Caenorhabditis elegans: one gene and its partner. The protein of the gene in region 1 interacts with the protein of each later gene in a pairwise test. Each region holds a gene or a part of one and is shown on either strand. Other genes may lie near its edges.

Region 1 (3,356 bases):
AAAGATGGAAGAACATTTGATATATTTAAAATTCGAGCATATTCAATCCAAAACGAGTCACTTGATATCAAATCATTGAATCGATGGCAAGCCAATTGGCAGTTTAGAAGTGATTTTTTGTCCAGCCTTCGGAAAATTGGCGAGAAACATTCGTTCGGCACAGTTTCTGCATCTCTGAAATAATTCTAGGTGAAAAATTGATATTTTAATTAAGAAAAAACTCACATTATCACTGGAACATCGGTTTTGAACTGTAGACTTTGCATTATCGATGAGAACGCTTTAAACATTTGGGGTCGATGAGAACAATATTTTTCGATTTTAAAGAGAAGAAATGAGTCAGAAGGAGAGAGACGCAGAGAATGGAAGTCTTGCGAAATGCGCATGCATGTGATATTCGTGTTCCAAAAAACTATCACGCTGTTAATATTATTATTTTAAAGCAAAAATATTAATAAGAAAATATTCAATGCTATTTTGAGAATGAGAAAAAAACTTTCTGACAAAAATATTGAGAACCTCTAGATATTCAACTTCTTTATATATTTTATTTTTTTCCTCATCTTGCTGACTGCAACTTTTTAGATTAGTTGATATATATTTGTCTTTCTCTTCTCTTAGTTTTACAGGTTACGAAACATTGATGATCTTCCTTATCCAAAGATACGTGGACAGCAAGAAATAACTTGTCCCACTTTCTAGGTTATCGCCGCCAATACCAAGGTCAAGCAATTCATGTTCTTCAGATTTGTGTTTCTAAAAAGGAAAAAAAAACGAATAACCGTGTTTATGAAGAAATACTCGTGCAATAGGAACCTGTCAAATTGGAATAGATTAGTGATGCTATTTACAAAAATTTTGAACATGAATTAGAACTAGTGATTATCATCAAATTCCGTGGATAAATCACTGCGGAGATCAGGGTTCGGAATGGCGATTTGCTCATCCTCTCGGACTTCCAAAGCCATCTCGAAATCTTCATCTTGAACGGGACCTCTTGGAATCTCTCTTGTTGCAATACTGGTCAATGGGACATTATAGTCGGGGGAATCGTAGGCAACGTGTGAACTGAAGGTGTTCCGTTTCTTGCGCTCAGTTTTTCCTTCGCTCAGTGACATGAGTGCCTAAAAATTCAATTATCTAGCTTTAATCTTTAGTGTAATCATTTTTTACCAGCTTAATCGTGATGAAAACGTAAATCAGAGCAACGAGAATGATGTTGAGATAGACTGCAAACCAAATCCTTGTCGCCTCATCCTTCTTCAGATTTGTCATCAAGCCGTCCGACGATCTGCGCGACGTGGCCTAAAAACGGTTGTGTCAATATGACCCCTCCCACCGTCGATGTTATATACTTACTGTACTCTTTCCGAAAAGACCTGTCACAGAGTCAAACATTCCTCTTGTTTTCTCAGCTGCCGTATTCAACCACGACGGCACCTCCACGCGTTGACCGAACAATTCGATACTATTATCCTTTAATATTTATGTGTTTTGATATATCCTCATTTTGAGCCCACCTTCGAACGTAATCCTTCTGCCATCGAGTCTTCAGTCTGGTTTCTCACATAGAAACATTGAATTGAAACAACCAGCAACAGGATTAGTGGGATTTTCATAGCGGAAACCTGAATATAATGTAATATGTATGTGACAAAATCACGAAAGAAAAAAGAATTTCCAAAAAAAAATGAAATTAGAAATCATTGAAACAAGTATTTGATTGTCCACTCGGACTACACTGTATACAGCGCTTCGAGACCATATCTTTAAATCCGGTGCGTCTTTAAAAGAGTGATTATTTGACCCAGTTTTTAAAGTCATTTTTTGAGCTAATTTTAGTTCCAAAAACAACTTTTTTGATAAACTTGCCCATTCCGAATAAATTTTTTGGGTTCAGAATAATTTTAAGTTGAAGATAAGCATAATTATATTCGAATAGACTCTCATTTCCGGGCCGTCGACGTTCCTTTAGCATTGTAGTTGCACAAACTTTCAGTTCGATGTGTTTTGTTCATTTTCTCACTGTTTTAAGGTTTAGAACACAATTAATTTTCCATTAAATGCGCGAACTCTCATCTCAATAAGTCATAAAGGTCGCCACGGTGACGTCCACGTGGACATCTCCCGTACACGCGTATGCTGACGTGTCAATACTGCACTGTCCATTCGTCTTGCAGTTTCGCGGTCCTCGTTGTCTCTGCCGGGGCGTTCACGGTCTCTTCTCTTTCTCTCGTTACTCTGTTTTACAACGTGCGCTTATTCTCCTTCTCTTCTCGTCGCTCGCACTCTTCCTAGCAGGTTGTGAACGACGAGGATTTTTTAAAAGAAAAATTGACTGCGTTTGTCAATACTCATACCCTACTTTTTTGATCGCAAAGTAATGGCTAACGTATTGTTTGCACACTTATCGTTGTCTATACCTCTTTTCTCTTCAATGATAACTTCCTCAAATTTTCTATTACTATTTTTTTAAATTTTCAGGTAATTATGTCACTGTCAGTGTCCTTTATCTTCCTCCTGGTCGCATCAATCGGAGCAGTTGTTGCTGACAGCGAAAACGTGCTTGTTCTCACTGAAGTATAACATTTATTCTGATCATTATCTTCTAAAAAACTGTTTTCAGAGCAATTTCGAAGAAACTATCAATGGAAATGAGTTTGTTCTAGTCAAATTCTATGCTCCATGGTGTGTACATTGCAAGTCTCTTGCTCCAAAGTACGACGAAGCCGCCGATTTGCTGAAGGAGGAAGGATCCGATATCAAGCTCGCCAAGGTTGACGCCACCGAAAACCAAGCTCTTGCATCCAAGTTCGAGGTCCGTGGATATCCAACTATCCTCTACTTCAAGAGTGGAAAGCCAACGAAATACACCGGAGGACGCGCCACCGCTCAAATTGTCGATTGGGTCAAGAAGAAGAGTGGACCAACTGTTACCACTGTTGAGTCAGTTGAGCAACTCGAGGAATTGAAGGGAAAGACCAGAGTTGTTGTTCTTGGATACTTCAAGGTATTTTTTTACATAAAAAGTACAACCTATTTAATTTATTTATTTTTCAGGACGCGAAATCTGATGCTGCTACCATCTACAACGAAGTTGCTGATTCTGTCGATGACGCATTCTTCGCCGTTGCCGGTTCTGCTGAGGTTGCTGCTGCCGCATCTTTGAATGAAGATGGAGTCGCTCTTATCCGCACTGATGGAGACGACAGCGAGACTAGCACAATTGCTGAAGCTGAAATCACCAACACCATCGCTCTTAAGCAATGGCTCCACGCTTACAAGCTCTCTGCCGTGACCGAGTTCACCCACGAATCTGCTCAAGAAATCGTCGGAGGAGACCTCAAAAAGTTCCA
Region 2 (4,961 bases), on another chromosome or scaffold:
TCACAAATAGAAAAAAAAAGTATCGCTATTAATCTATTCACCAATACACTTTATTTTCAGAAAAGAACTCAAAGAATACCGTCAGCTGTTCAACATGTTTGACACTGACGGTTCTGGAGCAATTGGTAACGAAGAGTTAAAGCAGGCAATGATAAGCATTGGACTTCATGCAAACAAAGCTGAAATTGACAACGTCATCAAAGAGGTGAGCGCCATTGAACATGTCACTTTTTGACAATGACATTTCCTTGTCGACGCACTATTTTAGTTATTTTCACATTTCCATTTCTGCTCCTTTTTCACTTTTCCACTCTGCTACCCCTCGTAAATCGTCAAATCGTTCACTGCACCAGTTTTCGGAGAAAATTTCCAAATTGTAGTATGTCATGAGGAGTTCACTATAAACACAGTGATACAAAATTTGAAAGTTTTCATTCTTTATTCTTATCTGTGATATTGCCATACCAAACTGATAATTTCTATCAAAATAATGGGTTCAAAGCTGTCTTCTTCAAGAAAGTCTTCTAAATTATCTAATTCAACAGTTTCCACTCCTTCTTGTATACATAATAAGCTTATTGATCAGGTGGATGCTGATGGCAACGGAGAAATTGATTTTGAAGAATTCTGCGCGTGTATGAAAAAATCCCAAAACATCGTGAAGTCGACCAACGAAGAGCTTATCAGAGAATGTTTCGAGATATTCGATCAAGATAGGAATGGGATCATCACAGAAAATGAGTTTAAGGTGTGTGAGCGAACAAAGTTGTTTTGAAAATCTTCTGTTACTGCTGATCAATAATAAAACTTGAAGTTTGAGTTCGATTGAGTAGGTCCTTTTCTAATTGAAATACCACATACAAACCAGTAACTTACATCAATGAAACAATTCGTTTAACAATAAAGATTTACGATATTTCATTGTTTTCTATTTTCAGTATATTGCAAAAGAATTTGGTGACTTTGACGATGAGCTTGCCGAAAAAGTTTTTCGCGAACTTGACGTTTCTGCCAACGGTCATTTGTCTGCAGATCAGGTCTGTGTTTGTTTCAAAACATAATCCTTGGAAATGTAAACTTTCAAATGTTTCCAGTTCGCAACTATCGTTGAAGACTACTTGCTAAACGACCCCAAACATGACATTGACACTGGTGATTCTGATGTGGAAAGATACGACGACCGGCATGACGACCGAGCGAGCCCCATGCCAAATCATTTGTCTACTGTGCCCGAATAGATCTCTCTGGTTGTTTAATTATTTTTTGGCAGCTTTGTGAATACATGTGTTTTGTTGGAAGTTTGATTGTAATTCAAAAAAAACGTACTGTTTCTGAAGAAGCTGATTGGAGTTGGGAATGTTGTAGATAGCAGCACAGATTCCAATGGTGAAGAGGAGTTGAAATCCGACGATACCCAAGACTTTTCGGAGAAAAGCTGAAATGAAATAATTGAAAATCCCATTTAAAATAATTAAAAGTAGAGTAGCGCCAATCAAAAATTGAGTAAACCAAATTGGCTAAACTGTTCTAAAAATTATCAAATATCATAGAGTTTATTTCGAACTTCTACTGGTGCCACTCTACCATTCAAGATGTCGAGAAAACAAAGTATTTGTAAAAATAATCACAACGAAAATAAAACGGTCAAACAATATTCGTGATGTTTCTAATTAAAAGATATCTTATTCAAATTTATTTTCCTTACCAATACGAATCATTCTATTCGCTTTTCCGACGCATCCTGGAAGAATTCCATCAGCGTCAACAATTCCCGCTTCTGCGTGCGCCGAGCTGGCCATGCTCATTGGCCACATTTGTGGGTTTCTGTAAAAATTAAGAATGAAAAATCAGATTTGGAGTTTCAATATTTCATGTTAGGGTGTGACTCTTTTACAATTTTATAGAACTATGTGAGAACAAATTTTGAGAATTTCGATTTGGGACGTCACAAGTAACTACTTCTGACTGAAATGCTAAAAAAATTAACAAATATTTTCTCACCGCTTAACATGCACCTCGTCGTCGTCACTGTCGTCATGATCGGAAAGCAAGTTCACCTGAAAAAATTTTTTTTGAGCATTCGTAGCCAAAAAATTACACATGCCTTGGTCTATGAGATTTTTTAAAATTTATATCATGTACCGTATATTCCTCATTGCACGGAATTTTATTTTTCAAATGGTCATTTTGGCTGCAACTCTAATAAAGACTGCAATTCTTATTGTCGATGAATTTATTTAAGTTACAGAGTTAATTTCGGCTGATTTATTAAAAAAGTCACGTTGAAAACTTTTAAACAACTGTAAATCTGAGACACACTACATTATTCTCCAAGAGATCCAAACGTCTAAGAAATTTTCAACAATGTTTTATTTAATTTTCAACATTAACAAGGGATTTCAACTCTGATAGGAGCGCAGTTCTGATTGCAATGAATAATACTAACATAAAAATAAAGCAATTTATTTCACTCCTTTTCTAGAGAAATTTTGCTGAACTATTACAAAAAAAATTATTGGTGAGCCCTCCAACTATGATAGTTCATATAAACCTTGTGATTTAGTTGAACTGAAAGGATCATACAGTCGAAACTTTGTTGCTAGTACTTTTCGAACATTCATCAAATTTTCAAACATTCAGTACTCAAAAGTTAAATCGGTAGAATATAAAACATCCTAAAAGTTTAACAATTGGAACGTTTGTCATAAAATCCCGCTAGAGCATTTCCGTTATGAAACAAAAAAAAACAAAAAAATCAACTTTTTGGGAACTACCGGGAACTCTTCTGCATAAAAATAACTGCCTATGTGAGATAGGTAAATATATTTTTGTTAGTACAAACATCTCATAGTTTTCTACAATGCTTTTAACCGGGGTTGGAATTTTGTTCGGTTTTTCAAAAACTGATATATTGAAATCGAAATAAAACTAATGAGATCTTTTTTTCAAAAATAAAACTGTGTGTGAAGGGGTTATTCACATACCCTCTCAGGCTCGCGGAGATGGCTGTTGATTGTCGCCATGCTGAGAAGAGGTTCTGAAAATCCATTTATATAAACATGTATTATTAAATAAAAAAAACAACTAATTAAAAAGTGACTGAATGAACAAATCAATAAACTGGCAGTATGTCATAGACAAAAAAGGGAGAAGAACGGAAAAACTACCAACAACGAAAGATTTAGAAAAACAGTCACATAAAAGGGAAAAGAGGAAGAAAAAAGAAGCATATTGACGTGTGAGACAAACGGCGGAAAGTGCAAACAGTGTGTGGAAAAAGGAAACGCAGAGATCTGCACGTCAGCGGTTCACATTAGAGCGCGCTTGTCGGTTTTTCAGAATGAATGAATTATCGATGTTTCTGTTTCGACATCCATAAATTACATAAATTATATTTTGAACCTGTATATTATACAAAAAGTACGAAGATTTTCAATATTTTAGTTGCAACGTTTTTTTTAATCTGGTTAAATATCTCGCAAAAAGTTTTTTTTTCATTGAAATAGGACTATTTGTCGATTCCATTTAAATAAATCTACTTCAAAATTAAATTTTTTTTCAAATTAATTTTCTCTCACAAAAACTCAAAACGTCCAAATGTGTATTCTAACCAACCAATGGCAAAGGAATTAAAAGAAACAATTATGAACAGGTGATGTGAGCTGAAAATGAGAGGTAGCGGAAAACCAAAAAAAAAAACTCCTGTCGAAGGCACAAACTATGATTAAATTCTCAGTTGCTAAGCTACCGTTGGGTAGAAAAATGTATTTGCCTACTTGTCAGAAAATGTTGAGTAATACTTGGGAAAAAATCAATTTGAAAATAATAATGAAATAGTATTGATAATATTGCCACATTGAAAGGTAAACCAGTTTGGAAATACAGTCGTAACAGTCTGGTTGTTGTGAAACTTGGATTCAGTATTCACAATTAAAAAGGACAACTTGATAAACGATGACCATAATGAAAACAACATATAATAATGAAGTAGCTCGTTTTGCTTGAAAATGCGCAACGACATAGCTGTTTTCAAACAAAGAAGCATGTTGAAAATAATATGACGTCACGAATAAAAATTATTTCAAATTTTTCAGCATGAAAATACAATCAAGAAAAAAAACACAAATCACTCATACCTCGTTGCCGGATTTTATGATTTTTGAGAAGATACGACATTTAATTTTAGCTCAATCGGAGCGTTTTCTAAAGATCTTAACTTCAACTAGTAAAAAATGAAACAAACAAAAAATTTTTTCAAAACATTTTCGCATACTTTTTTCATAATCTGTTTCAGGTTTTAGGAAGTTTCGAGACCGGGTACCGTATTTTTGAGTGAAAAACCGCATTTTTTGACAAACAACTATAAAAAACATACTCATGCAAAATTCACAGTCATATTGTTTCAAGGGTGGTTCATTTTGTACATTTCGCTAATTTTTAAATTTTTTGGCTATTGTATAGTCCCGTTCTGTATTACGTGTCCATGATTTGATGAGAACGGCGGAGACGTTTGCTTCACCCTTCTCCACACGCTTTCTCGCCAGAGACGTTTTGATATAGCAGGCGAGAATAAGAGGTGCAGGTGCTTTTTGCGAGTAAAATGTGACAATTTTCATCATTATTCCATGGACAGGCAATGGACAGGTTTTCTTACACAGTCATAATACGACACAATCGCGGCTTGCACTAATTTCTCCTAGGTTTACTTACAGAAAAATCTATACTTGCTGCTCGATGTTTGCGTTCTCATCAACCGCTCTTAACGTTGATCCATGTCAATTGTCCTATCATCACTCATTTTTAGGTGAGAAAAATTTTCCAGCAGTTTTTCAATAGTGTTTTGGTTTCTCTCGTTACTTCCTCCTAATTGAGTAACATAACAGTTGTTCAGAAAAAAACTCTTTATCATATACCGTGCATTCTGCAGTAGAGATGCAGTCTCCAGTAGTACTGAAGTATTG

Evidence for each region.
Region 2: the proteins of C14B1.2 (region 1) and tmbi-4 interact in a two-hybrid assay, tested with the Caenorhabditis elegans proteins (one large-scale study listed by BioGRID).

The regions. Positions count from the first base shown.
Region 1 is NC_003281.10:3,700,590-3,703,945, reverse strand, and holds C14B1.2 (Conserved plasma membrane protein), read right to left. Parts: upstream 1,687-3,356; 5' UTR 1,620-1,686; coding exon 1,521-1,619; intron 1,477-1,520; coding exon 1,360-1,476; intron 1,306-1,359; coding exon 1,174-1,305; intron 1,125-1,173; coding exon 876-1,124; 3' UTR 774-875; downstream 1-773. Other genes in the region: C14B1.3 (F-box domain-containing protein), read right to left, coding at 1-174, 226-290; pdi-1 (Protein disulfide-isomerase 1), read left to right, coding at 2,491-2,580, 2,627-3,010, 3,061-3,356.
Region 2 is NC_003284.9:9,148,770-9,153,730, reverse strand, and holds the start of tmbi-4 (Transmembrane BAX inhibitor motif-containing protein 4), read right to left. Parts: upstream 3,038-4,961; 5' UTR 3,024-3,037; coding exon 2,985-3,023; intron 2,058-2,984; coding exon 2,002-2,057; intron 1,825-2,001; coding exon 1,706-1,824; intron 1,436-1,705; coding exon 1,327-1,435; intron 1,318-1,326; exon of another isoform or gene 1,239-1,317; coding exon of another isoform or gene 1,095-1,238; intron 1,038-1,094; coding exon of another isoform or gene 939-1,037; intron 749-938; coding exon of another isoform or gene 587-748; intron 206-586; coding exon of another isoform or gene 61-205; intron 1-60. Other genes in the region: putative calcium-binding protein B0563.7, read left to right, coding at 61-205, 587-748, 939-1,037, 1,095-1,238.